2 linked regions of the Drosophila melanogaster genome follow. The protein of the gene in region 2 interacts with the protein of the main gene of each other region in a pairwise test. Each region holds a gene or a part of one and is shown on either strand. Other genes may lie near its edges.

The links. The genes of interacting proteins can lie anywhere in the genome.
Region 1: the proteins of Or45a (region 2) and CG4576 interact in a two-hybrid assay, tested with the Drosophila melanogaster proteins (one large-scale study listed by BioGRID).

What each region holds. Positions count from the first base shown.
Region 1 is NT_033777.3:15,821,879-15,831,941, forward strand, and holds CG4576 (uncharacterized protein), read left to right. Parts: upstream 1-3,868; 5' UTR 3,869-4,218; coding exon 4,219-4,300; intron 4,301-5,222; coding exon 5,223-5,518; intron 5,519-6,349; coding exon 6,350-6,515; intron 6,516-6,643; coding exon 6,644-7,347; intron 7,348-7,411; coding exon 7,412-7,605; intron 7,606-7,669; coding exon 7,670-8,010; intron 8,011-8,072; coding exon 8,073-8,215; intron 8,216-8,286; coding exon 8,287-8,391; 3' UTR 8,392-8,443; downstream 8,444-10,063. Other genes in the region: alpha-Man-IIb (alpha-Mannosidase class II b), read left to right, coding at 1-228, 288-1,059; rec (recombination-defective), read right to left, coding at 2,599-2,992, 8,476-10,063.
Region 2 is NT_033778.4:9,341,903-9,351,179, forward strand, and holds Or45a (odorant receptor 45a), read left to right. Parts: upstream 1-3,446; 5' UTR 3,447-3,519; coding exon 3,520-4,602; intron 4,603-4,656; coding exon 4,657-4,710; 3' UTR 4,711-6,961; downstream 6,962-9,277. UniProt on the Drosophila melanogaster protein: Odorant receptor which mediates acceptance or avoidance behavior, depending on its substrates. The odorant receptor repertoire encodes a large collection of odor stimuli that vary widely in identity, intensity, and duration.

The DNA.
Region 1 (10,063 bases), on a different chromosome or scaffold from region 2:
CAACACGAGAACTCATCTGGATGCAGCGATATATGTTGAAAATGATATAGATTTCGAGCCTCCACCCAAGAATCGGGAGACGGAGCTGTTTATGCGATTTGTCACCAACATAGACAATATAGCTCAAGCTCCGATGCAGCGGGATCCGCTTAAGGAGCCGGTCGATGCGGCTACCATGCCGGAGCTTCCCGTCTTCTACAGCGATCAAAACGGTTTCCAGTATCATGAGTAAGTCAAGAAACGCAGGACCATAAAACACTTTCTAACTTTGTGCTTCACACTTTTAGACGTATCAAAGTGCCGGCTATTGGCATCGAGGGCAACTACTTCCCGATCACCTCGGGAGCTTTTATTCAGGACAGTCGCCTTCGCCTCACCCTGTTGACCACTCATGCCCAAGGAGCAGCCAGTTATGAGCCTGGACAGCTGGAGGTTATGCTGGATCGGCGCACCCTGTACGACGATTATCGGGGAATGGGCGAAGGCGTCGTGGACAGCCGTTTGACGCGGCACAAGTTCTGGCTGCTCGTGGAGGACCTCCCGGGTGGTCAGCATGTTACGCAGCCACCGAGTTACAAGGTTCTCAGTCAGCAGGCTCAGCAGCTGGCAAATGCCTTGCGTTACCCGCCGAATCTGTACTTTGTAAGCAACCTGGAGCAGCCAGAACTGGCCGCTGCATTGCTGCCTTTGGTCAGGCTTTTGCCTAAGGGACCGCTGCCCTGTGACGTACACCTAACCACCCTGCGTACCCTATCCGATCCGGAGTTGCAACTGTTTCCGTCCGCCTCGGCGCTGCTAGTTTTGCATCGCCAAGGATTCGATTGCAGTGTAAGCGCTGGCAGGGAATTGTCTATGGAGGCCATATGTCCCCTGTCCAGCAAGGGATTGGGTAATGTGCAGCTAGGTCGGCTCAGCCTGCATACAATCGAAGCCACCAGCTTGACGGGGACGGAGCAGAAATCGTCCAGGGAGAGCTACCACATACGCTCTCTGGCCGAGATCAGTCTGGAACCAATGGAGCTACGCACCTTTAACCTTACTTTCCGCTCGGAGGTGTAAGGTGGCTGCAGTGTATTTAGCGGAAATAGTTATCATATTTATTTGTGGTTTAGTTCTAATAGTTAGTGGTAAACGCCAAGTGCAAAGTTTTCAGCTTTATTTAGTTCTCGTCACGTCTAATGTCTGTCTCCAACAGTTTTGAAAGTACAAAGCACACGACATAGTTATAAACATACAAACATAGGGTGGTTAGGTTTTTTTTTTTTTGTTGATTCATGTAGAATGAAAGTTAATGACTAGTTCGAATTCTGTTCGTCTGTTTAAAAGATCAAAGCGTAAGAAGAAACGAGGCTACGTCTAGTTACCTGTTGACTTTTCTAAAAAACGTATATTTTATTCAAAAAGGTATAATATTACAAACTACATGTTAGCCAGAAATTCTTTAAACTCTTTATTTATATAAATCGACCCACCCAAATAAACCTTCAGCTCGACTTAATGCAATAGGCCAAAATACCCAACTCGACTGCCCTGAGCAATGCATTCCGCTTAAGCCTCCCAGCTTCATACCCTAAAATATATGTGCAATAAACTTGAACTAAATCGCACCATGGAAATGAAACAGCTTAGATTAAGAACTAGCTTGATTTTAGAATGAAATATTTAGAGAGCAAATTAAATCAATTTTTGTTTTCGTTTGCGCGATTAGCGTTCGCATCGATTTGTTTAGACTGATTAGCCTAAAACGATTGCAAAATTGGCATGTAATATTAATCTCAATTAATCTATTCACTCCTAGCCCTTATCCAGAATTAACCAAAACACAAGTGTATGTAGGATATAAGTTTTAAACGAGCAACGTAGTGGGGTAGCAAAAGTATAAGCCAAATATTACATTACATTCACTAGCAATATTGTAAATAGTCGAATAGGATTTCCAGGCACGGTAAAAATAGCTCTAATATCCGATATACCACTTATAGATTTAAGCTAAGCCCTCTCTCAGCTCTGGTATTGTCGTATACGAGAGTCATTCAAATAGTTACTACTGAATTCAGAAACAAAGCATTCAAAGCAAGCAAGACATAAACTCTAAAATATCCAGAACGTAGGGATAAAATGACGAAGGATGGGATGGATTACTTCTAACGGAAACAACTGTTTTGTGTATTTATTTATAAAAACTTATTACTATATATCTAATTTTATGGATACAAGAAAATAAAGTATTATATGAAACCAATTGTGGAATGTGCGTTTGTCATTGAAACGAATTGCAAGAGCGATTCTCCGAGAAGATTTACTTCTTATCTTTAAATATTTTCAACGAAAGTACTGGGCAAGAATATATCAAGTGAAATTGATATGGTCCCGAAAGTATGCTTATTAAATTTAACTTTATAAAAATGTAATCAATATAACCACAACTAGAACGTAATGGTGTGAGTTTCAAACAGAAAAATGTTTTCCATGGCATTTATTATTAATTGCTAGACGGCTTGGCTTGCCTCATTTTAGAACCCACTTAACTTATAGTTAACCAGAAACAAAAACCACAGACGTTAGCCAAATATTGGCACTATATCGTTTGTCATTTGCCTAGTCCGGAACCACTTCGTACATGTTTGCGCCCTTCATGAGCAAATAGCCACCCAGGTTAGCCATTTCCACCAGCTGGCTAAAGCCAGTCAAAATGCCAGCCCGGGTTCCAATTTCCTTTAGCTCATCGAATTCGAAGATGCGTCGCCCCAATGCCGCCGAACGTCTCTTCGTAAGCTCCAAAAAATTGCGCAGTTGAGCGCTCTTTCCGGCTCCTCCTCCAGCGCCGCCTCCTCCTCGAGTTCCTTGCCTGCTGGAGCCCTCCTTGAGGCTGGTCTGGGTGATGCTCTCGGTCAGCAGGGCGATCACATCGCGCACGTGCTGCGGACTGACCACGTGGGATAAATCCAGGCGAGCACGTGCCTGCGACAGGTGAATTATCGCAAGAAGTTGCCTTACAAGAAGAATAAGCCAATATAAGTGTTACCTTATAATTTAAGGTTCTTAAATAAATCTTACAACTGTATAAAATTGCCTTTAGGTATTTCATAAATGAAACACAAGCAGACTGTGAACACCTTAATTAGTATTTTTTAGATTAGTATTCTTATAGTAAGTAAACATATATATGGGCAAAATTGATAAAGCAGGTTTGTTGCCTAAGTCTTTTGATTTCTGACCTTTTGCCAAAAGTTCTTCAAACGTGTATTCCATTTTGTTTCCATTTTGAGCACAGTTTTCAAATTTAAGGTCCCGAGGCCGTACGTGGGCCTCATCTTCTTGACCCTCAATTAATTTCGCATCTTGTTTTTCTCATCATTTACGCCGTAGGTAAACATTTCTTTTCAGAAGTATGATAATATATGTATCTCCATATTTGCCGAAAACTTGTTTTGGCAGATGAATGTTTTTAATTGTATTTCTAAGTCACCCAACTGGTCGTACAATCACGCCCAACACTTTTGCTAATTAAGCTTTATTCTGGCGTACTTTAAATGGATTTGATAAAAATATTTGATTTTAAATTTAAAATTCCAGCTCCTTTTCGTAAGTTTTCGCCCAAAACAAAAATAGGTATAAGTGGGCAACTCTGATGCCCAATGAAAACTAACTCGATCGGAAACCCGAAATGTAATCATAAATCAGTTGGATGTGGGCGACTGAAGAGCCCAGCATCGAACATGTTCCAACGCATTTTTCCCTTTGCCTTTTTATTTTATTTTTCGGAAACCAACGCATTTCTCGGGGGAGTTTTGAAACCCATCATCATTACAGCAACTGCATCGACAGAGGCAGAGGCCGAGGCATAGGCAGCGAAGCCCCATCTCATCCAGAGGCCCTAGACGCACGCATCTGTTCGGACCGCATTTCATTCTCGGCTCGCACGTTGGCGCAAACGGTTCATTAGCTGGCGGATCAATTCCATTCGGTCGGGTTTCGATTGGGTTTTGGGCCAAAAGTGCATTTCCTAACATCGGCATTGGCCGGACAGCAGAAGCCCCTGGGTCTGGTCATCTGCTTTGTTTTTTTGCTTCATTTACCTCGAGTCGCGTCGGTTGATGAAATTCCGCTTCTTATTGTTATTGGTGCGCTGGCGTTGCATTCGATTGGAGTTCGAGTGACGAAAGTGCCAAGAGTCGAAGACAATCAATTAGAGGGTGCATTACAATCGGCGATTCGATGCATCCCATGACGATGATGATGCTTCACATCGTGATTTTAGCAGCCACTTTTACGGCTGCGCAGTGTTTTCAATTGAACAGTAAGTGTGTATTACAATCAATGGGAAAGATTTATGTTCCGTGTTAATTTTGTTTATGAGCCTATTAAAAGTTCTGATAGTTGTTAAATAATCAGACTAGCAATATGTAAATGGTGTAGGAAGGCTTGTGCTAAGTAGAGAACGTAATACTCTTCTCAAATCAACAATTTCATAAACTAATAAATGAGTTCTAGTATTTGAGTAACTAGAGTTATAGGGGAATTATAGAGCTTGTATTGAATAAATATTACAACGTAGTTAAAACCACAAATCACGTAAAACCCATGATTAATGCAAGTTGAATAAGCGTTTTTCGTGCTTCCTTTGGCAACGGGGAAGTTCTAAGCCGACAAATTGAAAACCATTATGCAGTTCCATTTGTTCAGATTGCATGTTATGCTTGTCAATCGATATAACTATAGAACACTTTGCCAACGCTAGCATTATCCCAATATGCACCTGATCCGCCTATTTGCGTGTTCGGCTCCAAAAGTTCCCCGCCCGAATTCGGGCTACAAATTTGATGACGAAGCAGTATTTTGACAAACAATTAACTCAGCCAAAGTGTCTGGAATTTGCCAAGAGATTGAGGCACTCGAACTTGACTTGACCAGCAAAAAAAAAAAAAAAAAACCAAAGGCAGTGCGATTACAATATTGACATATGCTTGTTTGGTTGATTCCATCAATCGGAATAGAGAAGAATCGGAAGAATCTTCCAGCAAATGCAAAACAAGTTCAAGCTCGGGCAAAGGAAACTAGTTTCCTTTCACTTGACTGACCAGCCAATGAACCCGGACTGCAGTTCTAGCGAAAAAAGGACCTGCCCAGTTCAGAAACTTGTTTCCCACTTAATGAGCCGATTTATCCGACTGATTCACCATATTGTTTCTTGATCTGCTCCGTTCCCTTCCACTTTGCAGTGACGCAGTTCTATGAGATGCCTCCTCTATACGACTTGGATGACTATGATCGTTGCCTCCAGGAATTGAATGGCCAGGCGTCCACTTACTGCTTCGTCCGCGCGGAAGTCCAGCCCGATGAGTCTGTAGCGGCATGGCGGGCAATTGCAGAGATTTCGCAGTACGATCGCCATCACTTCGATCACCGACAGCTCTATTTCGGTCTCTGCCTGCGCGAATGTGAGGCGTCTCTGGCCGGGTTGAATAAAAGCGAACTGGAGGCCCTGCAAGCCGGCCTGCTATCGGAAAATGCAAAGGTAAGGCCACACGGAGGTGTCACCTCATTGGTAGCGATTCAGCTGCGGCTAACGATCGATTTAATTCAATCTTCGAATTCGCTGCTGGGCAGATACAGATACAAATACACATATTTCAAAACCCATCCGCTTGCCGAGGCGTCGGCCGTAATGGTCAATCAACAATCATCGGACACAGAAGCCGGGATAACAACGCCAAAGTTTATTCAACTCGAGCTCCCCGTGAGCTGCACATTATGTGGGCAGTGGCGCAGTAAAGGGGGTTTTAGTTCACATATTTGTCATTGGCATATACAAAGGTTTATATCTGCTTGCTATAAAGAGCTATCATGTTTTAACTTCTTAAATATTCGAGTATGTTTTTAAACAGGTTTATCGTTTTTTGAAAGTGGCCAATTTCAAGGGTCCCTCTCACAACGAACATAAAATGAATCCCATTTCAAAGATCCCCCTTGCAGACGCCTCTGGCTAAATGCGTGATCTGTATCTTCATTACCTATAAATATTGCATAAATTACAGCCGGAAAATCCGCTGATTAAACATCGGATAGCGGGGCAATGGGTGCTGCCAGCAGATGGGAGATGGGGATGGGGAATGGTGTGGCGATGCCATTGATGCAGTCGCCATCAAAATGCATTTACGATGGCTGATTAAACAAAGCGCTTATATTGGCTTAGGCGTTGGCTAAAAATGGAAATGGGCGGTCAGACAGCGAAATTCGATCCAATTCCATCAAATCAAATCGAACTCATTTCTTTCAAGGCCAAGGGCCTGACGTTGACATTTTGGTATTTTAATGATCGCAACATGGTCAATGCAATATTCGGCAGGTGAACGTATATCTGGACTTGTTCTCGATGGAAGCCAATAACCGCCAACGGCACCAGCGCTTGACAAATGCCTGCCTGAACTGGCGTCTGCAGCGTCGTGGATTCGGGGTGCTGGCCAAGAGCGTGGTGGAGTACTGCGATGAGGCGGGACATCAAGTGGAAGATGGTGAGTCACAGATTATATCATCGTGTAAATAATGTTTCTTTGCATTAGCATCCAAAAAGTGTTATGCATTTAATGGCGATGAGGTAATACTAACGACCGATAAAATAAATATTCCTTCTCGGCTTTAGATGCGTGGAACCTGACCTTCTACGGAATCTTGGGCACTCTACTGGTTCTGGCTTGTCTGGGTAGCTTAGTGGATCTGCATCTAAAGCGAAGCCGTCATGATAAAATGCTCAAGGAGCGAGATCACTACAAGACACCGCCCAAGAGCACTGCCCAACAGGTGCTGCTCACCTTTTCGGTGGCCCGCAATTGGTACCGACTTAATCAGGAGCCAAGTGGTAAGATCGGTCGCGAGCTGAGATTTCTCGACTGCTTCAAGTTCTTTGCCATGTTCATGGTGATATTTGCGCACACCAACTGGGTGATTTACGAGAGCGCCATCAGCAATCCGCAGGATCCGGAGCGACTGCTTCACACGGCAGCTGGCACTTTACTCGTTTCGGGATCATTGATCACTGTGACCTTTTTTGTGATCAGTGGTTTGTTGCTTACCATTAACTGGCTGGCCGTTTCACGTTCGCTAGAATCTAAAAAGGACACCTGGAGCTTCGGCCAGTATGCTTTGCTATTTGTCAAGTTTAACATCTTCCGATACATCCGACTGACGGTTCCATATGCCTTTGTATTGCTCATGAGTGGCGTTTACTTTGAGAACGCTGGAGGTCCACTGTGGCGGCACATCTTTGAGCGGGAGCAGTTGGCTTGTCGACGCAACTGGTGGACCAATCTGCTCTACGTCAACAACTTTGTACGCACGGATGAGCGGGTAAGTAATGAGTGCTTTATCTAATTTATCATCTAATCCACTCAAAATTCCATTCGGGATGCAGTGCCTGCTCCAAGGTTGGTATTTGGCAGCGGATACTCATTCCTTTGTGCTCAGCTTGGTGCTGCTGATGCTGGGTCACCGGTTCGTCAGATGGAGCAAACAGCTCTATGCGGGCATTTTGGGTCTTTTTGTGGTGGTGCCAATGGTGCTCACATATGCCATGAACTACTATCCCATTTTTGTACCCACGCCACAGTAAGTGATCGGACTTAAAAACTTTACTACTTGATTACAATCATTCTACCCATCTACCAAACAGAACCCAGAAGGATTCCTTTATCGGAGATCGTCAATTCACCGAATTCTACACGTCGTCCTTTATGAACTTCGGTAGCTATTTCTGTGGAGTCCTGGCCGCTTTGGTTTACGATCAGTTGGCATTGAAGCAATACAAACTACGGGAGTTAAAGAGCTTCCAGCTTCTTTGGTTTACACTTATTCCAGTGGGGATTCTATGGCTGTTTAGTGCTCATCCCATCTTCCAGCACTACTACGTGACGCCGTCGGCCATTTGGGGAGCATTATATGCCGGCCTGCAGCGAAACATCTGGGGCTTCGGGCTGGGAATCTTCATCGTGGGCATGGCCAGCAAAGTGGGATGTAAGTATCAACTGCGAGATATGCTTGGTATATCCTTGGCAAATCTTACTGTTCTTTCACAGGGATTTTCCGTAAGTTCTGCTGCTTGCCCATTTTCCGCATTTTGGGACGCCTCACTTATGGAGCCTTTATCGTCCACCTTCTTGTGGCGAGAATCGTCTTGGCCACAGTGCGGGAGCCCATTTATTTTGGCACGGGCATGATGGTGAGCTCACTTCTGGCATTCAATAGGAATTGGATTTTATGTAACTCAAATTGTTCTCATCTTATCTACAGTTTGCTTTCATCTTTTTTACGGTGACCGTGTCCTATCTCTGCTCCTTCTTGCTGGCCATCTTTCTGGAGCTTCCCGTCTCCTCCTTCCTCAAGCTTATGAGGTAGCCCAATGTCCTAACTTAAAGATTACTTATAACTAGAATAAAAGACATAACTTAATTAAATCCGTCACCAAAAAATTTCACTTACCCTGCGCCAATCTGGCTGGAAACGTCTTCATCGAGATTGCAGCTTCCTTTGAGCTCAAGGAAGTAACGCAGAACAGCATTGCTGGCGTCCTCGTTTAGGACCGGATTTAATTCCTGGCGAGCATAGGACAAGAACTTCTTAATCAGTATGGGTGGGAGCAGGTCCAAGTCCCCCTCCTCCGGAAGTACCTCCAGACGTTTGTCAAGATCATAATCCTGCTGCATAATGCTGTCATTATCGTCCTCCGTTTTGATTGTGTCATCATCTTTTCCCGCTGCCGGCACATTAAGGCTGACCTCGCACATGGAGTCGCTCATTTTGGGCTTAAGAGCATAGCGGGCTGCAATTCTCGCTCGTTTCCTAGCGCCCGCATGGAGAGCCCTTACGTGGGCAGTCAGCGACATATCTCTCTCCGAGGGCTTGTCCAATAATATGTAAACCAAATGGAACTCCCGCAGCAAAGAGGGTGAAATATTAATATTCTGTAGAAGGTAGCGCCCCTCATCGTATTGTCCTCTTTGTGGATTTGCGCACGCTATCACCGAAGGTTGCGCCGGGAATGAGGCAAATGCTCCTGCAAGTGGAAGATTTACTTCCTCTGATTGTAGGCACTGCAACAGTACGGCCTGCTTGGAGGCAAGTTTATCCACATCATCGAGGGTGCAGTGACCGCCTCCACTGGCCATCATCAAGGAACCCGCTTGTAGCACACGCTTGTTACGCCCAGCAAACGTAACACCCAGTTGCTGTGCGGATTGAGCCCCACGTTTTCCACTCACGTGGGCACCACGTTCAGCGATCTGAGCACAACTTTGCAGAATCTTGGTCTTTCCAATTCCGGGATCACCCACCAGGAGCACGTTGATGGCTTCAGTCTCCGCACCTTTCCCGCCGAGAAGGGATAGTAAACAGGCGGCTTTGGGTAGCTCATGTCCGTATACCTCCGGGGCAATGGATTGCACCAGTAGCTTAAAGCTGTTGGGTTCCGCATTGATCATGACAATCGCTTCCAAGTCACGTTCGCTGAACTCCCGCTTGATGCTGCTCGCATCGCGAATGCTGACTGCCTTGAGATAGGGCTGCATCTGGTTGGAGGTGTCTCCAGTGGTGGTATCGTCGCCCAATTCCTGCAGCTTAAGGATGCCAGTTACCACGACCTCCTGTCCGACACGCACAGCATCAACTAGATCATGTCGCAGCTCCACGTCCATTTCAGCAGGCATGCTGGTCTCAAAGTCGTGGACCAAGTTCAAACTGGACTCCTCCACGCGGATAATCTGTCGGATTGAAAGCCTGGTGTATGGGGAACTGCGAAGAGGCACGAATTCGTCACGAGCCACACACTCCGACCGCTTGCATTGATAAGGACGTGGCTGGAAGGTTCCCCGTTGGCGCATGGCAATCTCCATCTGGCAGCGACTGCAGCGAAAGGCTTGCCACGTGAGGCTGTAGCTAGGCTCGCCCACATTGCTCACAAAACCCCGGATGGAAAACAAAGTGTCCACTCGGGAATGGCTTATTCCTTCTATTGATTCCACAGGCACAAAATCATCCGGTCGTGCGTAGATCTTGCGTACCCGTGGGGTTG
Region 2 (9,277 bases):
ACTGGGTACACACACATTATAAATTTGTAGTCCAACTAAAAATGAGTATTCACTCATCATTCACATCCTGGAAAATTCACATAGATATCTCGAGTTGGGTCTACAAACATTCTTTGACTTGTTAGACTCCTGTAAATGCATGAATACAGCAATGATTATGCAAATCTTTAAGAACGTATCACTTTAAGGACCTTCACACGCTACTTTGGGTGTCTTTTTTCGAAATGCACTGCATCTGCTTGGAATGCAACATTGACACTCCCCTTCATCCGCCGCCCACTTGGGCTTGTCAATCAAGACGATACTCTTCCTTCGTTAGGGGAGCTTTCTTCGACACTTTGTGAGATGTTCGTGCTGCAAGGACACGCTAAACGTATGCAAATCATTATGTTAATCGGGTACCATCAAATTTTTTGGCGTCATTCATCACACTGAGCCACACTTTGCACTTGGTAATAGCAGCTTCTCACTCGCCCGCTCCATTATCCCCTTCTCTCCAGCAGCTTTCAGCCCCTCCTTTCGTAGTAGTAGCCCATTCCCAAACCCTTTCCAACATCCTTCTGGACCACTGCTTGCTTTGCTCTTGCTGCTGCTTAACGCCCGCGTGGCTAAGCCAAAATTTACACAGGCACAGCGAGTTTGGTCGTCAAGGATGCTTGGTTATGCTGAAATTTGCACTTTTCCGACACACACACACACATGCAGTGAAAGGCACACACACACACACAAGGATATACACACATGTACTAGCAGCAGCATAAGTAAACAAGTTTAGTATAATCAACGGTTGGCTGCCTGCCGGGCTATACAAAAAAGTGTTGCACATCGGCTTACAAAATCCACACCCGCAACGAAGCCAACCTGCTCCCCCCACCCCCCCCCCCTCTTCCCTTCATGAGCATGTAGATGACGTAGTATATGTTTTTATTAGCATGCTTTGTATGCCCTGTACGCTGTCAGGCTCACGAGCAAGTCGGGGCTGGGCTGCATTTATCAGCGGAATGGGGGCAGGGGTTTTGGGCAGGATTCACCTGTCTCACGGCGCTCGTAAAACCACATTACCTGTGATTTCCGAACACAGGATGGCTTGTTCATCAGCGTTGCAGTCGAGCACGGGCACGAGGACGTAGCGATTGGGAACGGGATATCTGCCGGTGGCCCTTTGGCGCCATTGTGCCACGTTCATTGAATGTTTTTCTATTAATTTTTTATTGAATGATGCTTTTGCCCCACCACACAGCATACTTCCACGCAGGTTGGGAGTGGCTCATTCCCTGCGGCGGCATGCTAACTTTATTCAATTCCTTCGCTGCTCATGTGGAACACACACTCGATGTACCTCTCAACCTGTCCCTCTCTAACTGCATCCAGCGCTCCCTTTCTATCTTAGTTACATTCTCTATTTTCAGCCGGACAAGAGAAAGCTGTGTAATGTGGCTGAAAAATTGCTAGTACTCAGGATGCAACCTAGTCGAAGGAATGGCCATTAAGTACACTCGAGGCACAGATACCCTTGAATTGGATTAGGATTTAGGATTTAAACATGCAAATTCTAATAATACAAGCCATAAATTTAAATAAAATACCAAATTGTTCACTTTTCTCAAAGTTTATTAAGTCACAAACTTGTTAACTTTTCTGTGGTGGCTTGTGTTCAAATAAAACATCATATGATTAACAGCAAAGGGATCAAAGACTCGTATTAAATAAAATGTTTTCCCTATGGTATCTTTGGTAATCTCTTTGGTATCTCCCAGCTCCGTACACTCTATCTGTACCCCTAAACTCCCGCTGATAGGGCAACAAATGATCAACATGATGTGAAACATTTTGCTAGTTCCTTAAACTGAACAAAAGAAGACGAGTTGGGGGGCAAGTGGGGTCTGGCAAGCAAGAGTTCGGCAAGCTGGTTAAGCCTGGCATGCCACTCCATTTGGAAGACGGTTTTTTTTTACGGTTCGCCACAAGCTCATAAAAAACCTCCAAAATGGGTGACACACAAAGGAGTCGCACATGCACACACACAGCCACACCTTCACTTACATGAAGGCAATGAAATAAACAAAGCCGCAAAAGACACGAAAACCTCAGTGGAGCGAGAGAGATGGGCACATGGTGTGCGAAAGAGAGGGAGAGATGTTTCAGGAGAAAGAGACAGATGGTAAGCAAATTGCTGAGGAGTCCAAAAGCCGGACCGACGTCAAAATTATCGAGCAGCAGGTGTGCTCTTCTCCGTTTTCCCCATTTTTCTTTTTTTTCTCTTTCTCACTCTCATTGTGCCTCTCTCTTTCGCACATACTGACCCTCTCTTTCGCACACAGCCACTGGCATTATTGCTTTTGTGGCTTTTCGGTAAATATTTTGCATAAAATATCAATTTGATATGCAAACGGGCGAATATGTGAAAACGTGCGACTGCAATGACTACTCAGACTCTATGAAATTTAAATAAAAATCTGCAAGTGTAAATTTAATTAATTACTGAACATGTTTTTCAAACATAACTCTTTGTATTCACAATTGGCCGGAGGCCAACATATGTACATAGCTCGCTCTAAATAACGTTGCATAACTTTTGTAGCCGCAACTTTGAACAAGTCAGCTACGAATATCCTTCGGAAAAATGCAAATGATGGTTATTAAAATTCCAGGAAAAGGTCTTTATTTGGCACACCCACTCTAGATTAATTGAGAGCAGTTAAGGTGACATTAAGCCGAACCCAAAGGCAAAGAACCCAAAATGCAAATCGGGGGGAAAAAACGCTTGGAGATAATGTGGCCTGGCAAATGGCTATTTCACTCGATTTCGTCTAGTCCCGGCGATAAATTTCGAAAGCAGATTTACTTGTTGATTTCCCACGTAATTGAATTACTCGCGAATAAAGTGCGGACCAAATGGGTCCCGACATTTTCCTCCCAGAGGGCAAACAAATTGGGAAAAAAAAGGATTTTTGGGGCCAGCCCAAAAATTAATTTCATTTTGGTGTATTTACAGGGAATTTTTACGCTAACTTTTTGGTACAAAATACACAAATTTAAAAGGAATTTAAAAGGAAAAATGCTTTGCTCTAGCCCAAATGTCAAGGCTACAGAAAAAATTATATCTATCACAACTTGTTCATAATCATAACCCTTGCGGTCTTGTATAAGAACATGCCATTGTCCAGTCAGGCATTTAAATGTTAAAGTGAAAATAAATAGATAGATAACCAAATAGAATGTAAACAAATAGGTAAACAACGTGTCGCACCACTTCCACTTGTGTTGGGTATTTATTTGTTAATACGATATTTACGCCCCCCTAAATGGAAATGGGAAAATTTCCAATCAAAACAGCACAGCCAGTGTGGTAGTGGTAACCGTGTCACGTAGCCTGTTAACGGATGAAATAAATATTTCAGGCACAATTTCAGGGGCGGCAACGGCATCCACTTAGCTTTCTTTTTTTTCTTTTTTTTTTTGCCCCCAGTGGCTGCTATAAAAGTTGGTGCAACAACGAAATCCGGTTGAAAGACCAACATGGACGCCAGCTACTTTGCCGTCCAGAGAAGAGCTCTGGAAATAGTTGGATTCGATCCCAGTACTCCGCAACTGAGTCTGAAACATCCCATCTGGGCCGGGATTCTCATCCTGTCCTTGATCTCTCACAACTGGCCCATGGTAGTCTATGCCCTGCAGGATCTCTCCGACTTGACCCGTCTGACGGACAACTTTGCGGTGTTTATGCAAGGATCACAGAGCACCTTCAAGTTCCTGGTCATGATGGCGAAACGAAGGCGCATTGGATCGTTGATTCACCGTTTGCATAAGCTAAACCAGGCGGCCAGTGCCACGCCCAATCACCTGGAGAAGATCGAGAGGGAAAACCAACTGGATAGGTATGTCGCCAGGTCCTTTAGAAATGCCGCCTACGGAGTGATTTGTGCCTCGGCCATAGCGCCCATGTTGCTTGGCCTGTGGGGATATGTGGAGACGGGTGTATTTACCCCGACCACACCCATGGAGTTCAACTTCTGGCTGGACGAGCGAAAGCCTCACTTTTATTGGCCCATCTACGTTTGGGGCGTACTGGGCGTGGCAGCTGCCGCCTGGTTGGCCATTGCAACGGACACCCTGTTCTCCTGGCTGACTCACAATGTGGTGATTCAGTTCCAACTACTGGAGCTTGTTCTCGAAGAGAAGGATCTGAATGGCGGAGACTCTCGCCTGACCGGGTTTGTTAGTCGTCATCGTATAGCTCTGGATTTGGCCAAGGAACTAAGTTCGATTTTCGGGGAGATCGTCTTTGTGAAATACATGCTCAGTTACCTGCAACTCTGCATGTTGGCCTTTCGCTTCAGCCGCAGTGGCTGGAGTGCCCAGGTGCCATTTAGAGCCACCTTCCTAGTGGCCATCATCATCCAACTGAGTTCGTATTGCTATGGAGGCGAGTATATAAAGCAGCAAAGTTTGGCCATCGCACAAGCCGTTTATGGTCAAATCAATTGGCCAGAAATGACGCCAAAGAAAAGAAGACTCTGGCAAATGGTGATCATGAGGGCGCAGCGACCGGCTAAGATTTTTGGATTCATGTTCGTTGTGGACTTGCCACTGCTGCTTTGGGTGGGTTTTTAGTAATGGATTATTAAGGCATACTTAAGATATTATATCTTGCAGGTCATCAGAACTGCGGGCTCATTTCTGGCCATGCTTAGGACTTTCGAGCGTTAGCCCATCAAATCGAAGCTTGAGAATAGTTACCTCTTAATGAACAAAAATGATTATAATTTCTTAATCAATCAATAATCTTTAATAGTCGAGTACATTTATTTGGAAATATTCATGGGCAAGCGATCCAAACATCCACAACCCAACTCCAATCAGTTGCCATTTGGACGAGCATGTTTTTGACGGGCTCAGCTGCCCCGAAGGGATCTCATGCCCCAGGTTGATGCCACTGCAGGCAGATGGAGGAGCATATGAAATTCATGAGGGCATTCCACAAAGGCAGCTAGCGAAGCCAGCTCATGCGTGTGGCCATGATGTCAGTCGTGTGTGCATATGGGTACTCGTATGTATTGTATGTATATAGATGTATACACCAGGTAGTCGGAATTTGTTAGTATGAAAGTACGAAAGTATGCAACATCAGCAGCATCGTTCAGGTGGGGAACAAGTTGCTGAAAAATAGCTACTCAAACTATGTGCACCATGCTGCTTGCCAGCCAATGGCCTCGGGCTCCTTTTTCGACTCAGCCCGGGTCTTGAGCTAGTTTCGGGGCTTCGGGATCAGGATCAGGTGGAATGCGGACCTAAGAACCCTGCCCTTATCCTTCGTGCCTTGCGGAATGTTGCCTGCTACGGAATTTCTGGCTTGATGTTGCCGAGATTCGAATTCAGTCGGAGGCTAAGTCGCTTGAACGGAATTTGTTTTATTAAATTTTACAACTCGGTATTTTGCACATGCAAAATGGACTCAGTATTTCGGACTCCGTGCACCACCGTTTTACCAAAAAGCTGTGACAAATTGTGCGGGCGTGGAAGCCAGGCACCTCGGATTATGTTACAAATTACGACAGCGCTATTGCGGGCATAATTAATTTTTGTCTCTGACATTTGATTTATTGGTCTGCGTTGGTCAGCATCTTTGGCTTGACTTCGAAAAAACAAATGAGCAGCGATTAATAAGCGCGAATCGCTCCTGGCCATTACGCACCTGCGGCACAAACAGCCAACAAAATTCGAGCATCAACCTGCCACAGCTAGCTGGGTTTGCTGGGCGGTATAACTTTACAGCAAATTGTGGCCAAGATAAGAGCGGATGGCCAAGAGCCACAAGCTGAAAATAGTGGTGAAAAAAATCACCATTTTATGTGTATTAAAAATGTGAACAAAAACGAACAGGAGCGAGCACAGATTTTGTTTGCGGTTCGTTGAGCACACAATAATTCCATCAGCATCAGTGGCAGTAGGAAAAGTGGGCGTGGCAGGCGTGTGTGGGCGGTGGGGTAGAGATAAAAGTGCTGGCAGCACTTTCGCTGCATTGCTTTTTTTGTTTTTTTGCAGTTGTTGCGGTGTATTGTGTGGGCAGTGCCACGAGGCGAATGGTTAATAATCGAACAAAAAGGTCCTTAAAGCTGTCGCGCAGTGAGCAAACGTTTATGCAAAGTAAATTGATATGCAAACTGCAAATTTCAATGGCAATTCAAACTTAAATGTCCTAATGCAGTTTTATCTTTGTAAAACAAAATGGTGGCCAGCTGGTAGTTTCCCGCAAGCATTACCCCAGGGCTTATGGTTTGCATTTAACCAACAAAAAATCTAACCTAAAGTTTTACAACAAAATTGATTTTTCAATTTCAAAATGAATTGCCTGAAATGAAGAAAACAAAAACTATCAGTATTTTAATGCGAAAATTGAAATGCCAAGCTTAAATCAAGTTCGCAATGCGGAAAAGTGGCCAAACACTTATTCAATTCACCCGAAGTGGAAATTCAAATTTTCGAACACAAATGCTAATTCAAATTAAATGGAAAAACCCAGCCGTTTTCACGGTAATTCCACCTCTTTGGCCACCGGAAAATAGGAAGCACAAAAAATGTCCCACTTTAATCGGGCTTGTGTTTGCCAAAGCTATATTTTCATCTGTATATATGTACAATATAAATGTATAACATATATTTTTCGGTTAAGCATACAAGGCGGCTGTGCAGGGCCTTGATGAAACTTTTCTAATTAAAATTGTGCGGCTTGTTGAAAGGTTTTTCCAACGGCGAGGGGCCGGCGAAGGGCGGGCGCGGAGATAGCCAGTTTTAATAGAAATTACATTAATTAATATTTAAAATATGCTTAAATACACATTCCTATGCATTAATTAATACGGGCTGGCGGCACACATACAGCGAGTAAACAATGAAACGTGACTGGAACTAACAACGAATTGCGCCATAAGCCAAACGTTGGCAGGCAGGCACTCCAACTCCAGGACTAAACGGAGATTTGACTAATTACAGCACGCCCCCTAATTTCTTGTTTATTTGGTTAAATTTAATTTCAAATGCCACAAATGCGACAATCGAGCTGAGCCATGGGGCAAACAGTAGCGGTGATTACAATGTTTTATTGACTGTTTTTACCCACATAATTGCCACAGATTTGGACATTGTCCAAATCGACTTGTTTTCCCCTCGAGACGAGACGAGTCTCCCCACTTCCGAAATCGCTTCTCCCAGTCGCTATTTTCGTCTCCTCAGCTCAGTTTGGAAACTTTGATTTACGCCACCCGTTCCTAACCCACTTTTATGGGACTTTGTGTGACCCATTTGAACATTTGGCTTGCAGCGGCTCCCTTGCGAGGATGTGGATGGGAATGTGGATGCCACATGCATGACAAGCACTTATGCAAATTATATGGCGCACTTATGTGCGGGCAGAGGATTCGACTTTATTTGTCGGAATTTCGATGGGATTTTCAGCAGCAAAATTAAAATAAAACATAAATGTATAACAAACTTTCACTAAGTGCAAGCGGGTTCAAGCGAATAATGGTCATAATTTTTTTGCGAGATAAAATATTAATACTGAACTCGACCAGAAATAGTGAATTCTAAAATGATTCCATATATGTCATATAGAAACATATTAGGCTAATTAGTTGTTAAAATTATACGTCGAATGAATCATTCAGAACCATTATTCGGTTTTTTTTTGTTCTGGACATTGATTCACACGACTATATGTTTTCCTTTTTAAATGTAATTCATACTTTTAAGCTAAACAAATAAATAGACGCCCAAAGTTGCAAGAAAAAAAAAAAAAAATAATTTAAAAATTTAACAAACACATAAATATTTGCAAGCACACAGGAAAACGATTGGTTAAACACAAATTTTTCACATGTTTGGAACCAGAACATTCTGGGCAGAAATCAATCAACATATTTGCACTCTTTCGAAAGAACGTTCTGCACTTAAAAGCATATCAAAATTGAAATTTCAGTAGGAGCAGAGCGCGAATGGTAATTAAAAACCGAAAATGTTTTTCGCCTTCTTCCTGGAATGTCATTAAATAATCAGCATGGCGGCTATCATTATCCGTCATTCGCAACCAAATACAATAATTAATGATGCCACAGAGCCCGCCCAAATTGCAATTACCTTATGCATAATTAAATTATAATTCATTAGACATGAGCCCTTGCTGTCTAAATCACAGCACTTAAATATTACCAATGCGAAAAACCATCTCGATACGTAATCAAATGAGACTAAATCAATAGGCTTAAAATGGGTCTTTAGCCCCTACAACATTTTTTAAGCACTTTATAACGAGCAAATTTTTCTAAAGGGGGTCTTGACTCGACTCATTTGGGTAAATCAACTCGATGGCAACTCGATGCTGAGATGCACAGATAAAAATGGTATTGTGATTATACAACATTTAGACGGGTAGTTAAGGGGCGAAGCTGGATGATATGGAAATTGCAAATGCCATTGTTTGTGCCGAAGTGGGACTGTGAATGTGAAATTGTTTAGAGGCGACGCGCGACAAGAAAATCGCAGAGCAATGGGCGGGGGAAATGTTTGAAAAATGACTTTTCTTCGGCACTGAGAATCCGCTCGGCAATGAGTCTGCCATTTTCTTGTTGCAATGTCGCATGAGCTGGTGATTTCTTTTGTGTACATATATTGTGTGTATTGCTTATTGGGTGTGGATTTGAAAATGTGTACTTTATAATGCGAATTCAATTATTTTGGCAAAATCGGTTTTGTTTTTCTTGTGTACATTACAATTTTGGGATCCACTCCGGCCTTTGGGTTCGCCTTCGTCGACCTCATTTTCCTTTCTTCGTTCGTAGGGCTCGTCCTTTTTCCCAGCCGTCTTACAGGATATTTTCAATTTTTGCGGCAGGATATTGCCGTTGCTTTATTTGCCGTGTGCGCTTACTGTTTTAATTATCTTGCCTGATTTGATTTTCCATTCTTTTTTAATTAATTTCGTTTGAGCATAGTTTATTTATTTATGCGTTTTATGGGCGATTTTCAGCATTCGATTTCCACGCGCTTGTTGGTTTTTGCTTGTTTTTTCTTTGCTGGCGAAACCTTTTTAATCATTTGTTTTACAAAAATGTTTGCGGCTGTTTTTTCCCGTTGGTGTTTTCGGTTGTAATGATATTTGTTTTTTTTATTTATATTTGTTTTATTCGGTTGTATTTTTTTATTTACTAATAAAATGCATGTAAGTCAGTCCGTCGTTTCAACATTTTTGTGTCTTGTATATTTTGTTTGTTTGCTGCAA